2 linked regions of the Coturnix japonica genome follow. The protein of the gene in region 2 purifies or fractionates together with the protein of the main gene of each other region. This does not show direct contact. Links are inferred from orthologs where the notes say so. Each region holds a gene or a part of one and is shown on either strand. Other genes may lie near its edges.

Region 1 (5,160 bases), on a different chromosome or scaffold from region 2:
CCAGTCGGCACTGCTGTCATACGCCGTTCCCTTCTGCAGCACCTCCGGAGCCATGTAGCCATGGGTACCCCTGGGGGCACAGAGCGAGGTCAGGGCCGTGCCCAGCAATCACAGGGGAGTGCCGAGATGGGCGGGCACACTCACACGCTGGCATGGGGTTTCTTCTTGGAGAAGTCACAGGCCAGTCCGAGGTCTGAGATGCGGACATGACCGAACTCATCCAGGAGGATGTTTGCTGGCTGCTGGGACATGGAGCCACCCCTGAGCCACAGCCCAGCCCACGGCCATGGGTGGCAGCTGGGCTGAGGGTGCCTGTGCACGTTAGGATGGGTGCAATATGGGGTGCAGGGATGACTGCAGGGTCCCAGAGATGCCCACAGTGCCTAGGGGCTTCCTGCTGGGTGTAGGGTGCCCATAGGACCTGGAGGTCTGTAGGGCCCCCAGATTTCCACACAGTGGGTGGGTGCTCATGGGGGCGGTCACCTTAAGGTCACGGTACACCACGAAGCAGCTGTGCATGTGCTCCAGGCCCAGGATGATCTCTGCTGCATAGAAGCGCATCTCTGCTTCCGAGAAGACGCCGTGCTGAGACAGATGATAGTGCAGGTCTCCCCCTGCAGTAACAGGCGCCAGCAGTCACCCTGGGAATGCCATGGCGGGGAGGCCAGGGGGCTGCGGTGCTGGGAATGGGGAGCAGCTATAGGCTCTCACCGTTCATTAGGTCAAGGATGAAGCTGAGCTTGTCGGGTGTGTGGAAAGCATAAGACATGCACACGATGAACGGGCAGTCCTGGCCAGGGAGAAGATGTCATGCCAAGCCAGCTGTGCCTCAGCACCCCGCATCACCCTGTGCCCTTAATCCCCTCACCCCTGTGCTGACAAGGGACAACATGATGCGCTCGTTGAGGGCCAGCGTCTCACCCTGCTTCATCTTGATGCGCTTCTTGTCCAAGCACTTCATGGCATACCTGGGGGCAGAGAGTCCCTGTGGGGTCCTGCTGCTACCTGGACCCACCACGCCCACTCTTTGACATCTGTGGTCAGACAGCTCCTTCCCCCAACTACCATGATGTATTGCCCCAGAAGGTGGAGACACAGCAATGCTCTGGCACCGCTAAATGCCCACCATCACGGCAACACCGCTCACCCCCCCTGCCCACAAGAACAGAGCTCCCCAGCCCCATTACATTTTGCCTGTGTCTGCTTTCCGGCAGCCGTAGACCTCCCCAAAGCCACCGCGACCGATGATGCGATGAACACTGAAGTCATTCATGGTGAGCTGAAGTGGATCAGAAAGAGGGGATCACCCGATGGTAGCTACCCCCTGTGTGTCCTGGGGGGGTCCCATACCCTGCCTCAGTCTCCTGGAGCTCCCTTAGAACCAGGACCCATATTCCCTCCCTGGCTGTATCCCGAGGAGCAAGGTCTCACATGGATGTTCAGCTCCACATTCTTCCACTGGCAGAACCGCGTGAACTTGTCGCTGCAAGGAAGCACAGAGAGGGTGAGAGCGAGGGACCCCTGGGGAGACCTCTAAGACGCAAGGAAGGGCAGAGGAGATCCGTATTGTGGAGAGGACCCCATGTGGGAAAAGAGACCCCAGGCCAGAACTGGGAGTGACACTGGCCCAACTCTCCAGTGTGGGGACAGACAGCACTGGAACTTCTCAGCAGGAGCCCTGCAGCACCCTGAGAGACAGATCTCCCTGGGCAGTGCTCCTGTCTCACCTCTCAATGAATTTCTGGAAGATGCTCCCACGCAGGTTCTGGCAGATCTCCTCAATGTAGGGCTATGGGTAACACGGGGGTCAGCATTACATCCCCAGTACCACCCAGGTCCGCCCCATTCCCTGCAGGTCCCACCTCTAGGTGGGATATCTCACACCTCCACTACCACCTTCTGCCACCCAAGGCCAGCTGTCTCTGGTGACCCCAGTGCCACCATCCCCTCCACGTCACGGACAGCACTTACCTGGAAGAGGTCTGGGGGCACCTGCTTCTTGCTCAGGAGGCTCTGCACGTGCTCTGTAGCACTCTTGGAGAATGGCTGCAGGGCAGGACAGCACCACATCACCGTGAGGAGGTGGACACGGTGGTGGAATCTCCTGTGGCTTGGCACGATGAGGCACAGCACTCACATGGGAGCAGGCCAGCAGCTCCTTCATGATGTAATGGTCGTAGATCTGGCGGCTCCTGCTCAGGCGCTCCTCCTCCGAGTCCAGCTTCTCGTATTTCTTGATCTGCCAAGGACACAGATTGCATGGTGAAGAGGGCACAGCCCCACAAGGAGCACACAGTGCACAGTGTCTCGTGGACACCTGTGGATATCAGGACCCTGGGCACTGAGTGCATTGCTTCCAGGCATCCAGGGCACCACCTCCCCCAGGTGCATCAGAGGGTACCCCATCCCCAGCCCCACATCACACCTCTTCGTAGAACTCCATCAGGGACTTGGCTTCCTCAGCCTGGTTGAGGGCGAAGTCCCGGAACAGCAGGTACCCTGGGGTAGAGGCAGTGCTGCGAGCGGTGACCGCATCACAGTGTGGCACCCAGGCCGAGCGATGTGGTGCCACACAACAAGAGCACAGCAGGCTGAGAAGGGCTGTGGGGCTGCCAGAGGAGGGCTATGGAGCTAAGCAGGGCTGTGGGGCTGCCAGAGGAGGGCTGTGGGGCTGCCAGAGGAGGGCTATGTGGCTGCCAGAGGAGTGCTATGCGGCTGCCGGGAGGGCTACTAGGCTGCCAGAGGAGGGCTATGGCGCTGAGCAGGGCTATAGGGCTGCCGGGAGGGTTATGGGGCTGCCAGAGGAGGGCTATGGGGCTGCCAGAGGGCGGAGGTGCCGGAAACCACCAGAGCCGCGGGGAGGAAGCAAGAGGCGCTTCCTGCCCAGGACAGTTAGTGCGAGGGGAAGCGGCGGGGCGGGGCAGGGCGGACCGAGGGGGGGGGGGGGGAGGACCCCACCCAGCCCCTCCGCAGCCCCACGGCGGCGCCCGCAGCCCCCACTCACCGATTCTCTGCGCAAAGATCTTGTCGAAGGTTAATTCGCCCCTTTCCTCGAGGTACTTCTGCATGACGCTGCGGATGCTGGGGGGCGGCCGGGGCTCAGCTCGGCCCACACTGCCCCATACTGCCCCTACGCGCCCCGGTGGTGTCTGGGGACGGGGGCTCCGTAGGGGCACGGCGGGGCCGAGGGCGGCAGGGCAGGCAGGGCCCGGCCCGGTGCCCCCGACCCGACGGCACTCACCTGGGCTCGGGCAGTAGGATCCGTTTGGAGGCGCGGGCGGCGGGTGCGGCCCGGCTTTTCTCCATGGCCATCAGGTAGCTCACGTCGGCCAGCACAGCCTCCAGATCCGCCATCTTGCGCGGGGCCGAGGCCGGCACCGGCCCGACCCCCAGCAGCGACCCGGAAGCGGAAGTAGGAGCAGCCGGAAACGCGTTGGGCTGGGCCCGAGCTGTGCGCGGGGCTGAGCCCGGAGCTGCAGTATGGCAGTAGTTGCAGTAATGCTGGAGGAGCAAAGATGTCCAACCCAGCTCCGCAAACAACCCAACAACCAACAACCAGCCAGGAACAAACGGCCCCTCCGTGCCCCCAACACCCCCCGGCCCCAACGCAGAGAGCGCACGCGACTTGGTTTTGCTTGAACCCTTAACGCTTACATTTAATTTGAAAGCACAAACATCGGCTGGACTCTAAATTGCCAACAAAAAATATATATTTACAATATGTCTCCGAGGGGGGAGAAGGGAGGAGGGGGGGGTCGAAACGGAACGAAAACACAACGAAACCTTTAAACGATGGGGAGTTGTTGCGGGAGGCAGCCGGGCGCGGTGCGGGCGCTTTAAATCACTGAGCGATCCCATATACAGAACTCTCTCTTTGTGTATTGGGAGCTCGCTGTCCCTGCGGGGCTATGGGGCTGTATGGAGGGGCTGTATGGGGGGGGTCCCGCACCGCTCCCCTCGCTTCTGTCCTGGTGGCAAAACTCAAACAAATGAACCCAAGAAGAAAGAAAAACGCCGCAGCAACAGCCACCAGGACAGAGATGGGGGCTCTGCCCCCTCCTTCCCTAAACCCCCCCCAGCGCTGCTCACAGCCCGCCCGCAGCCTCCTCTCCTCCCTTATTGCTTCTGGGGGCTGCGCTGTGCCATGCACCGGGGAGAGGAGCAGCAGCCGGGCACGGGCAGGGAGGGGAACGAAAGAGCGACCCAAAAGATGCCAACTTTTTTTTTTCTTTTTTTTTCCCTCATATCTTGAGTTTTTTTTCCGATTTTTTACTTTTAATTTTTTTTGCTTTTTTTTTTTTGTTTTTTTGTTTTTTTTTTCTTAAAGTGCAAAAAGCTCTCTGCTGCCCAAGAGAGAGGTTCTTTGGACCAACCGCTCATTGCAAAGGAAAAAACGGCAGCTAAAATGGGGTGGGGGGGAGGGTGGGAGATGAGAGGACAAGGCAGCGAGGCAGCCCTGCCACACGAATGTCAGCGCTCGGCCGTGGTAGGCAGCTGGGGAGGGAGATGCAGCAGCTTCCTCCCCCCCCCCCCCCCCCCCCCCCCCCCCCCCCCCCCCCCCCCGTGCTCACTCACCCGCGGCTGATTATTCGAGTCCTCCCTGAGCTCTGGGGGCTGCTCCCCCAGCCGAGCCTCGGCCACTGCCTGTGCACAGGGCTCTGAGGAAGCGCCCCAGGGTGGAAGCCCCATCCCCAACCTTGCCGCCATGCCCAGGCTGGAGGGCTCCTGCCCTCGCTGCTGCAGGGGAAGAAAGGAATCCAAGGGCTGGGTGAGGGGGTTTAGAGCAGGGCTCGAGCTGGTGGTGGCACCGAGAGAGAGGGCCCGTCCCAGCTCTGCTCCCTCCTCCTTGGAGAGGCCTCAAGCTTTGTGCTAACAGGGAAGTGACAAGTGTTTCAAGGCAAGGAGCTGGGGAAAAGTAGGGGGAAGAGGGTGCGCCCCGTTTCTCCACCCAGGGATCTCGGCAACAACCTCCACCTTGGGAGCTCCCTGCTGCGGGCCCGGTCCTCCTCTCGTACTGGCCAGCCTGGGGGGGATGTCCACATCGGCACAAGTCCCAGCGGTAGGAGGAGGAAGGACAGCCGAGCAAGGCCAGTACCGGCCCTGCCCACGAGGTGGCAGTGGCAGGACATCGAGGGCAAGATGGGGAGGTGGAGGAGTGGC
Region 2 (5,808 bases):
AGAACCTCCTGGCTGCCTGGGGCTGGGGGCTGCGCTTCAGCAGAGCAAGGCCTTGTGTGCCCCCCCCCCCCGGAGGGTGGGGAGCTGGGGCGGCTGTGCTGGCTGCACCCCACCTCCGGGGAGAGGGAGGGGGGGGCTGGTGCTGGGGAGGAGGCACAGAGGCCTAGGAGGGAGAGGGGAACACGTGGGGAGGGATGTGGGGGGTTGGGAGTGGGGGGATGCGAGATGGGGGGGATCTCTGCTGCTCCGGTGACGGCTGTCACAGCGCCGGGGGGAGCACGAGGGGACCCCCACCCCATCAGCATCACCGCGGCAGGAGGACCCCAGCCCCAGCCCCAGCCCCATCCCTCTCCTCAGCCCCAGCCCCGGCCGCAGCCCAGCTCGCAGCGTTGCATCAGCCCGAACCGAACCGAACGGAACCGCACCGCTCCGCACCGCCGCCCCACCTGCTTGGCGCTGAGCTCCCGGTCCAGCTCCCGGGCTCGGTTGTGCCAGACGAGGTAATGCAGCGGGTATCTGCCCTCCGGCCCCTTCCTGCCCGAGCAAGACGCGAGCATCCTCCGTTCATGCTGGAGCGGCGGAGCGGGGCGCGGGGCGGAGCGGGGCGCGGGGCGGGGCGGAACGGGGCGCGGAGCGGGGCGGGGCGGTGGGGGGGGGGGGGTGGGTGGGAGCCGCCCGGACGGTCCCCCCCGCATCTTCCCCCCGCACCGCCCGGCCTCATGGGACTTGTAGTCACTGAGCGCGGCGTCGCCCCTTCCTCCTCCTCCTCCTCCTCCTCCTCCTTTTCCTCCCCGCACCCCCCGCCGGCCCTATGCCCCCCCCCATTGTATGGGGCTGTTCGGGGACGGCTCCGCAGCGCCCGAAGGCACAACCTGAATTCTTATCGCACCCCCCCGCTCTCCCCACCCACGGGCGCTCAACACGCAGCAGCGCGACCCCCGCGATGAGCCCGTGGGGTGCCGACCCCCCCCCGGCCCCATTTCCCTTTCCGCCCCCGTCCCTCCGCTCGTGTTTTCCGGCAGCCGCCAGAGAACAATGCGAGGTTGGGCCCCACGGCTGCCCCCCCCCCACCCTCCGACCCCTCCCCACGCCCCTATGGGGTTCCCGCGGGGTCACCCCGCTCCTTCCCCGCCCCTATGGTGGGCTGTGGCCGTGACGACCCCCCCCCAAAGGTCCCGCTGTCCCGTGACGTCACGGCCATGCAGCGGTGAGCTCAGCGCCGGGCGGGTGCAGCGTGACACGGCGCTGTGCCCCCAGCCCCGGGCGCTGATCGGGGTCCCCCGGGCTGGGGGTGGCGCCCCCCGACCCCATCTGACAACGGCACAGAGATGGGCACCCCCAGTATCAAACCCCCCCACACACACTATGCCAGGTTCAGCCATCGTGGGGGTGGGGGTCGGGGTGATTTGGGGCCTCGGGGGTGCGGGTGCAGGATGGGACCCTGGGCTGGGAATGGGGCTGGGGGCAGGGCCGGGGAGTGCATGGAATCAGAACCGGGACATGGGCTGGGTCAGAACCTGGAACGGGACACGGACCAAGGCTAAAACCAGAACCAATGGATGCCTAGAATGAGACCAACTCAGAACCAGGACCAAAATGAGAACCAGGCCCGGGTCCAGAGGATGCCCAGGATCCGGATCACTATCAGGACAAGAACCAGGGGTTGTCCAGGACAAAACCGGGACCAGGACAAGGTCCAAGACTAACCCAGGACCAAGACCAGGAGCAGGGAATACCCAAAAGCAGGACCAGAACAGAGGCAGGGAATGCCCAGGAACAGAACCAGGATGGGGACAAGAACAAGGAGACGCACAGAATCAGGACTAGAACCGGGACCAGAACCAGAGGATGACAGAGCCGGGATGAGGACGAGAACCAGCACCAGGACGGGCCCCGATCCGCCCCAAAGGGCCGCAGCTCCATCACCCGCTGCTGCTCAGGGCGCGCCGTGACTGCGCTGCGCTGCGCTGCGCTGCGCGGGGCGGGGGCGGTTCTGCTCCTCCTCCGCCGGGGCCGGGCCTGAGCCGCTTCCTGCGGAGCCGCCGGGGCTGCGAGCAGCCGGCAGGGCAGGCGGCAGGAGGGCGAGGCGGCCCCGAGCCCCGCCGCCCCCCCCCGACCCCTCCCCAACCCGACCCCCCCATCCCCCCCTTCCCCGGCCCCGCTCCGCGCTGGCGCAGAGACCCGGGCCCGGCTCGGCGCTGAGGATGTCCCGGAAGGCGCAGCGGGCGGAGGTGTGCGCGGACTGCAGTGCCGCAGGTAGGGAAGGGCCGCGCCCGGCCCCGTCGGCGTTATCCCCCCCCGACCCTCCTCCACGCGGGGCCGTTCGCAGTTCGGTTGTGCGTGTGCCTCCATCCCCTCCCCCCCAGCATCAGCACCTGGATGACGCCCCCCTCCCCCTTTGCTCTGGACCCCGCTGCCCCGCTCTGAACCCCCAGCTTTGTACCCGCGATACCCCGGTGCCTCCCTCCCCCCCCCGCACCCCCTATTTACCCCAGGGGTCCCAGTGACCCCCACCCTTCCTTCACACCCCGTGCTGAGACCCCAGGAGCCCAGGGTTCCCCCTGCATACCCTGCCGACTCCCTCTTTGCCCACAGCAACCCCACAACGTGCCCTAAATAAACCCCCCCCCCGTTCCCCCTGCAACCCTCGGTGCACCCCATTCCCCATCCCTTTGTACCCCTACTTTCCCTCTCGGCACCCAGCACTGTGCCCCCCGGTGCCCCTGTTCTGCACCCAGGAACCCTACAGTGAGCCCTAAAATGCCCCCTGTGCCCCCCAGACCCCTTGTTCTATCTCTTACAGCCCCTTGTTGCCCCCCATTACCCCCCACTCTTCACCCCCTACTTTACCCCCGGGTTCCCCTTTTACACCCCGCACTGGGAATCCCCGCTGCACCCCATTATCTCTATAACATACCCTAAAGATGGCTCCCCCCCCATATTGTGACCCCCAGACCCATCCCTGCGGCGCTGGGGGCAATGAATGAACGTTGAAAGCGGCTCAGAGCCCTGAGGATGGCGGCCACGTGCATGGGGGGCTGCGGGGTCACCCACTGCTGTGGGTCAGCCCCTGTTATAAGGTACCCGGCGGTGCCGAGGTTCCTATGGGGGAAATGGAAAGCTTTTTCTCCCAATCCCTTATCGCCCGGCGGCCATGGGAGGAAATGAGTTATAAAGTCCAGAGGCCGCTTCCGACATCGCGGGGCCGGGAGCAGCCGGTGTCGGGATGTGCGGGGTGCCCGGCTCCGGCATCGCCCCCGCGGCGCAGGGATGGAGTTTCCCATTGCTCCGGGTTATGGGGTAGCACCGTTCTGCTGTGCCCTCAGCCGCCCCGATCCCAATGAAGGAGGAAGGGGTGGCACTGCGAGGTGCTGTATGGGGTGCTGTATGGGGTCCTATATGGGATCCTATATGGGGTGCTATATGAGGTGCTATATGGGGTGCTATATGGGGTGCCCCCCCCCCGGCACGCAGCATCCTGTTCCCGGCAGCGCCCCGTGGGCCGCGGTGCGGAGGCGCAGATGCGGCGGTGCTGCTGCCAAGCGCTGCCATCTGCCCGGGCGGTGCTGCCAGGATTTGGGGGGGGGGACGACGACAACACTGCCTTGTGGCCGCTGCCGGCTGTGCCCCCCATATTAGAGGGGTCGGGGCTGCCTGGTGTGGGGCAGCAGTGGGGTTTTGGGGAGGGGGTGGGAAGGAAGCGCCGCACTGGGTGATGGGGGTGGGTCGCTGGTGGTGCTGCTGCCCCCTCCCACCCGCAGCCCTTCCTCCCGTGGGGCGGCGCGGTGTTTGTGTAGGCCCTATAGATGCACAACACTCCTCTGCTATGGCACAGGGACGCTGGGGACCGTATGGCCCACCCTGCCCCTGCCCCCTGTGGAGGGGGGGGTGGCACCCCATCTGTCCCCCATCCCTTCTGTTGGTGCCGGGGGATCTGGACCCATTGGGGTGCTGGCTGTGGGGAGCTGCCCCCAAAGAACGGTGGGGCCCCCGTGGCTGGAGCGGGGCCGGTGCCAGCACAGTGCTCAAACGTCCCTTTGTTCTCCTGGGGACACAAAGGGCTCCAGTGCGGCCGAGCGGGGCCGGGCAGGGGGCGTGGGGCTGCTGGGGGGGGCACAGCCACTGAGTCCGTGATGGCTGAGTGGGTGGGAGGGCACCCACCTGTATGGGGACACCCGCAGCACAGGGGACACAGCATCGGCACGTAAGGGTGTATTGCACAGTGCTGGCATCGCCCCCGCTGCTGTCAGCCCTTCTGATGAGGGGGCCAAATCCTGCCCCCCCCCCTTGGTTGCTAAGGGAACCCTTTGGGTTTCCCCTGGCGATGGGCTGAGCCCCTCTCCGTCACCCTGGAAACCGCCATGTTGCTACGGTGACGCTGCCCCCCCCCACACACAGCCCCCCCTACATAACACCCCACGCCCCCTGCAGACCCGGGCTGGGCCTCCATCAACCGCGGTGTGCTCATCTGCGACGAGTGCTGCAGCGTGCACCGCAGCCTGGGCCGCCACATCTCCATCGTCAAGCACCTGCGGCACAGCCCCTGGCCCGCCACGCTGCTGCAGGTGGGTGCACCCGGGGGGGGAGGTTACAAGGGGGGTGTCCCATCGGCTCACTGTGCCCCCCCCCATGCATAGATGGTGCACACCTTGGCCAGCAATGGGGCCAACTCCATCTGGGAGCACTCGCTGCTGGACCCGGCGCAGGTGCAGAGCGGGCGCAGGAAGGCAAATCCCCAGGATAAAGTGCAGTAAGTGAGGGCTGTGTGTGGGGATGGGGCTGTGGGGATGGGGGGAGCTGTGGTGGATGTCCCCCCCCCCTCACCCTGTGTCTCCAGCCCCACCAAGTCAGAGTTCATCCGCGCCAAGTACCAGATGTTGGCCTTCGTGCACAAGCTGCCGTGCCGGGATGATGATGGTGTCACCGCCAAGGACCTCAGCAAGGTGGGGGCACGGTGTGATGGGGACCCCCCCTTGGTGCTGCTGACACTCCTGGCACTGACTGCTGCCTCTCCCCCTGCAGCAATTGCACTCCAGCGTGCGGACGGGCAACCTGGAGACGTGTCTGCGGCTGCTCTCACTGGGGGCTCAGGCCAATTTCTTCCACCCGGTGAGCTCTGGGGGGGGCAGACAGCCCGGGGGGGGGGGCATGATGTTGTCATCACGGGGCTGACGCCGGCTGTACCCACAGGAGAAGGGCACCACACCGCTGCACGTGGCTGCCAAGGCAGGGCAGATCCTGCAGGCAGAGCTGCTGGTGGTGTACGGTGCTGACCCTGGTGCGCCCGACGTCAATGGGAGGACACCCATCGACTACGCCAGGTGAGAGCGTTGGGGTGGTGGGGGGTCGTGTTGGGATGGGAGGGACGTGGCCAGCCCAGGGTTGGTGTCACCCCGGCCGTGCCCCGTAGGCAGGCGGCCCAGCACGAGCTGGCAGAGCGGCTGGTGGAGTGCCAGTATGAGCTGACCGACCGGCTGGCCTTCTACCTGTGCGGCAGGAAGCCGGGTGAGTGCTGCACCCATCGCATTGCATGGGGGGGTTAGGAGGGGCCGGAGGGGCTGATCTCACCACCCCTTATCTCTGTGCAGACCACAAGAACGGGCACTACATCATCCCGCAGATGGCAGACAGGTGAGTGCCCGGTGCTCACAGCTGCGCCACCACCACTGTCCCCCCTGGTGTCCCCACTGGGCCGAGGGGGGGACCCCACAGCTGTGACCACCACTGGAACATCACATGGAGTGTGCGTGTGGGGGGCTGTGTGTGTGTATATGTATGTGTATATATGTGTGTGTGTGTGTGTGTGCT

Evidence for each region. Proteins that work in one complex are often made in the same cells at the same time.
Region 1: the proteins of GIT1 (region 2) and GRK2 purify together in Homo sapiens (affinity purification with western blotting; 4 studies listed by BioGRID and IntAct, with this or other methods). This does not show direct contact. The link is inferred for Coturnix japonica from reciprocal best matches to the Homo sapiens genes GIT1 and GRK2.

What each region holds. Positions count from the first base shown.
Region 1 is NC_029520.1:139,127-144,286, reverse strand, and holds the start of GRK2 (beta-adrenergic receptor kinase 1), read right to left. Parts: upstream 3,518-5,160; 5' UTR 3,355-3,517; coding exon 3,242-3,354; intron 3,082-3,241; coding exon 3,005-3,081; intron 2,500-3,004; coding exon 2,426-2,499; intron 2,240-2,425; coding exon 2,138-2,239; intron 2,047-2,137; coding exon 1,972-2,046; intron 1,790-1,971; coding exon 1,728-1,789; intron 1,484-1,727; coding exon 1,432-1,483; intron 1,280-1,431; coding exon 1,188-1,279; intron 969-1,187; coding exon 869-968; intron 791-868; coding exon 712-790; intron 615-711; coding exon 484-614; intron 243-483; coding exon 145-242; intron 71-144; coding exon 1-70. UniProt on the Homo sapiens protein: Specifically phosphorylates the agonist-occupied form of the beta-adrenergic and closely related receptors, probably inducing a desensitization of them. Key regulator of LPAR1 signaling.
Region 2 is NC_029534.1:4,842,551-4,848,358, reverse strand, and holds the start of GIT1 (ARF GTPase-activating protein GIT1), read left to right. Parts: upstream 1-2,092; 5' UTR 2,093-2,204; coding exon 2,205-2,256; intron 2,257-4,431; coding exon 4,432-4,565; intron 4,566-4,637; coding exon 4,638-4,750; intron 4,751-4,837; coding exon 4,838-4,943; intron 4,944-5,022; coding exon 5,023-5,109; intron 5,110-5,190; coding exon 5,191-5,321; intron 5,322-5,410; coding exon 5,411-5,505; intron 5,506-5,588; coding exon 5,589-5,631; intron 5,632-5,808. Other genes in the region: ANKRD13B (ankyrin repeat domain-containing protein 13B), read right to left, coding at 447-557. UniProt on the Homo sapiens protein: GTPase-activating protein for ADP ribosylation factor family members, including ARF1.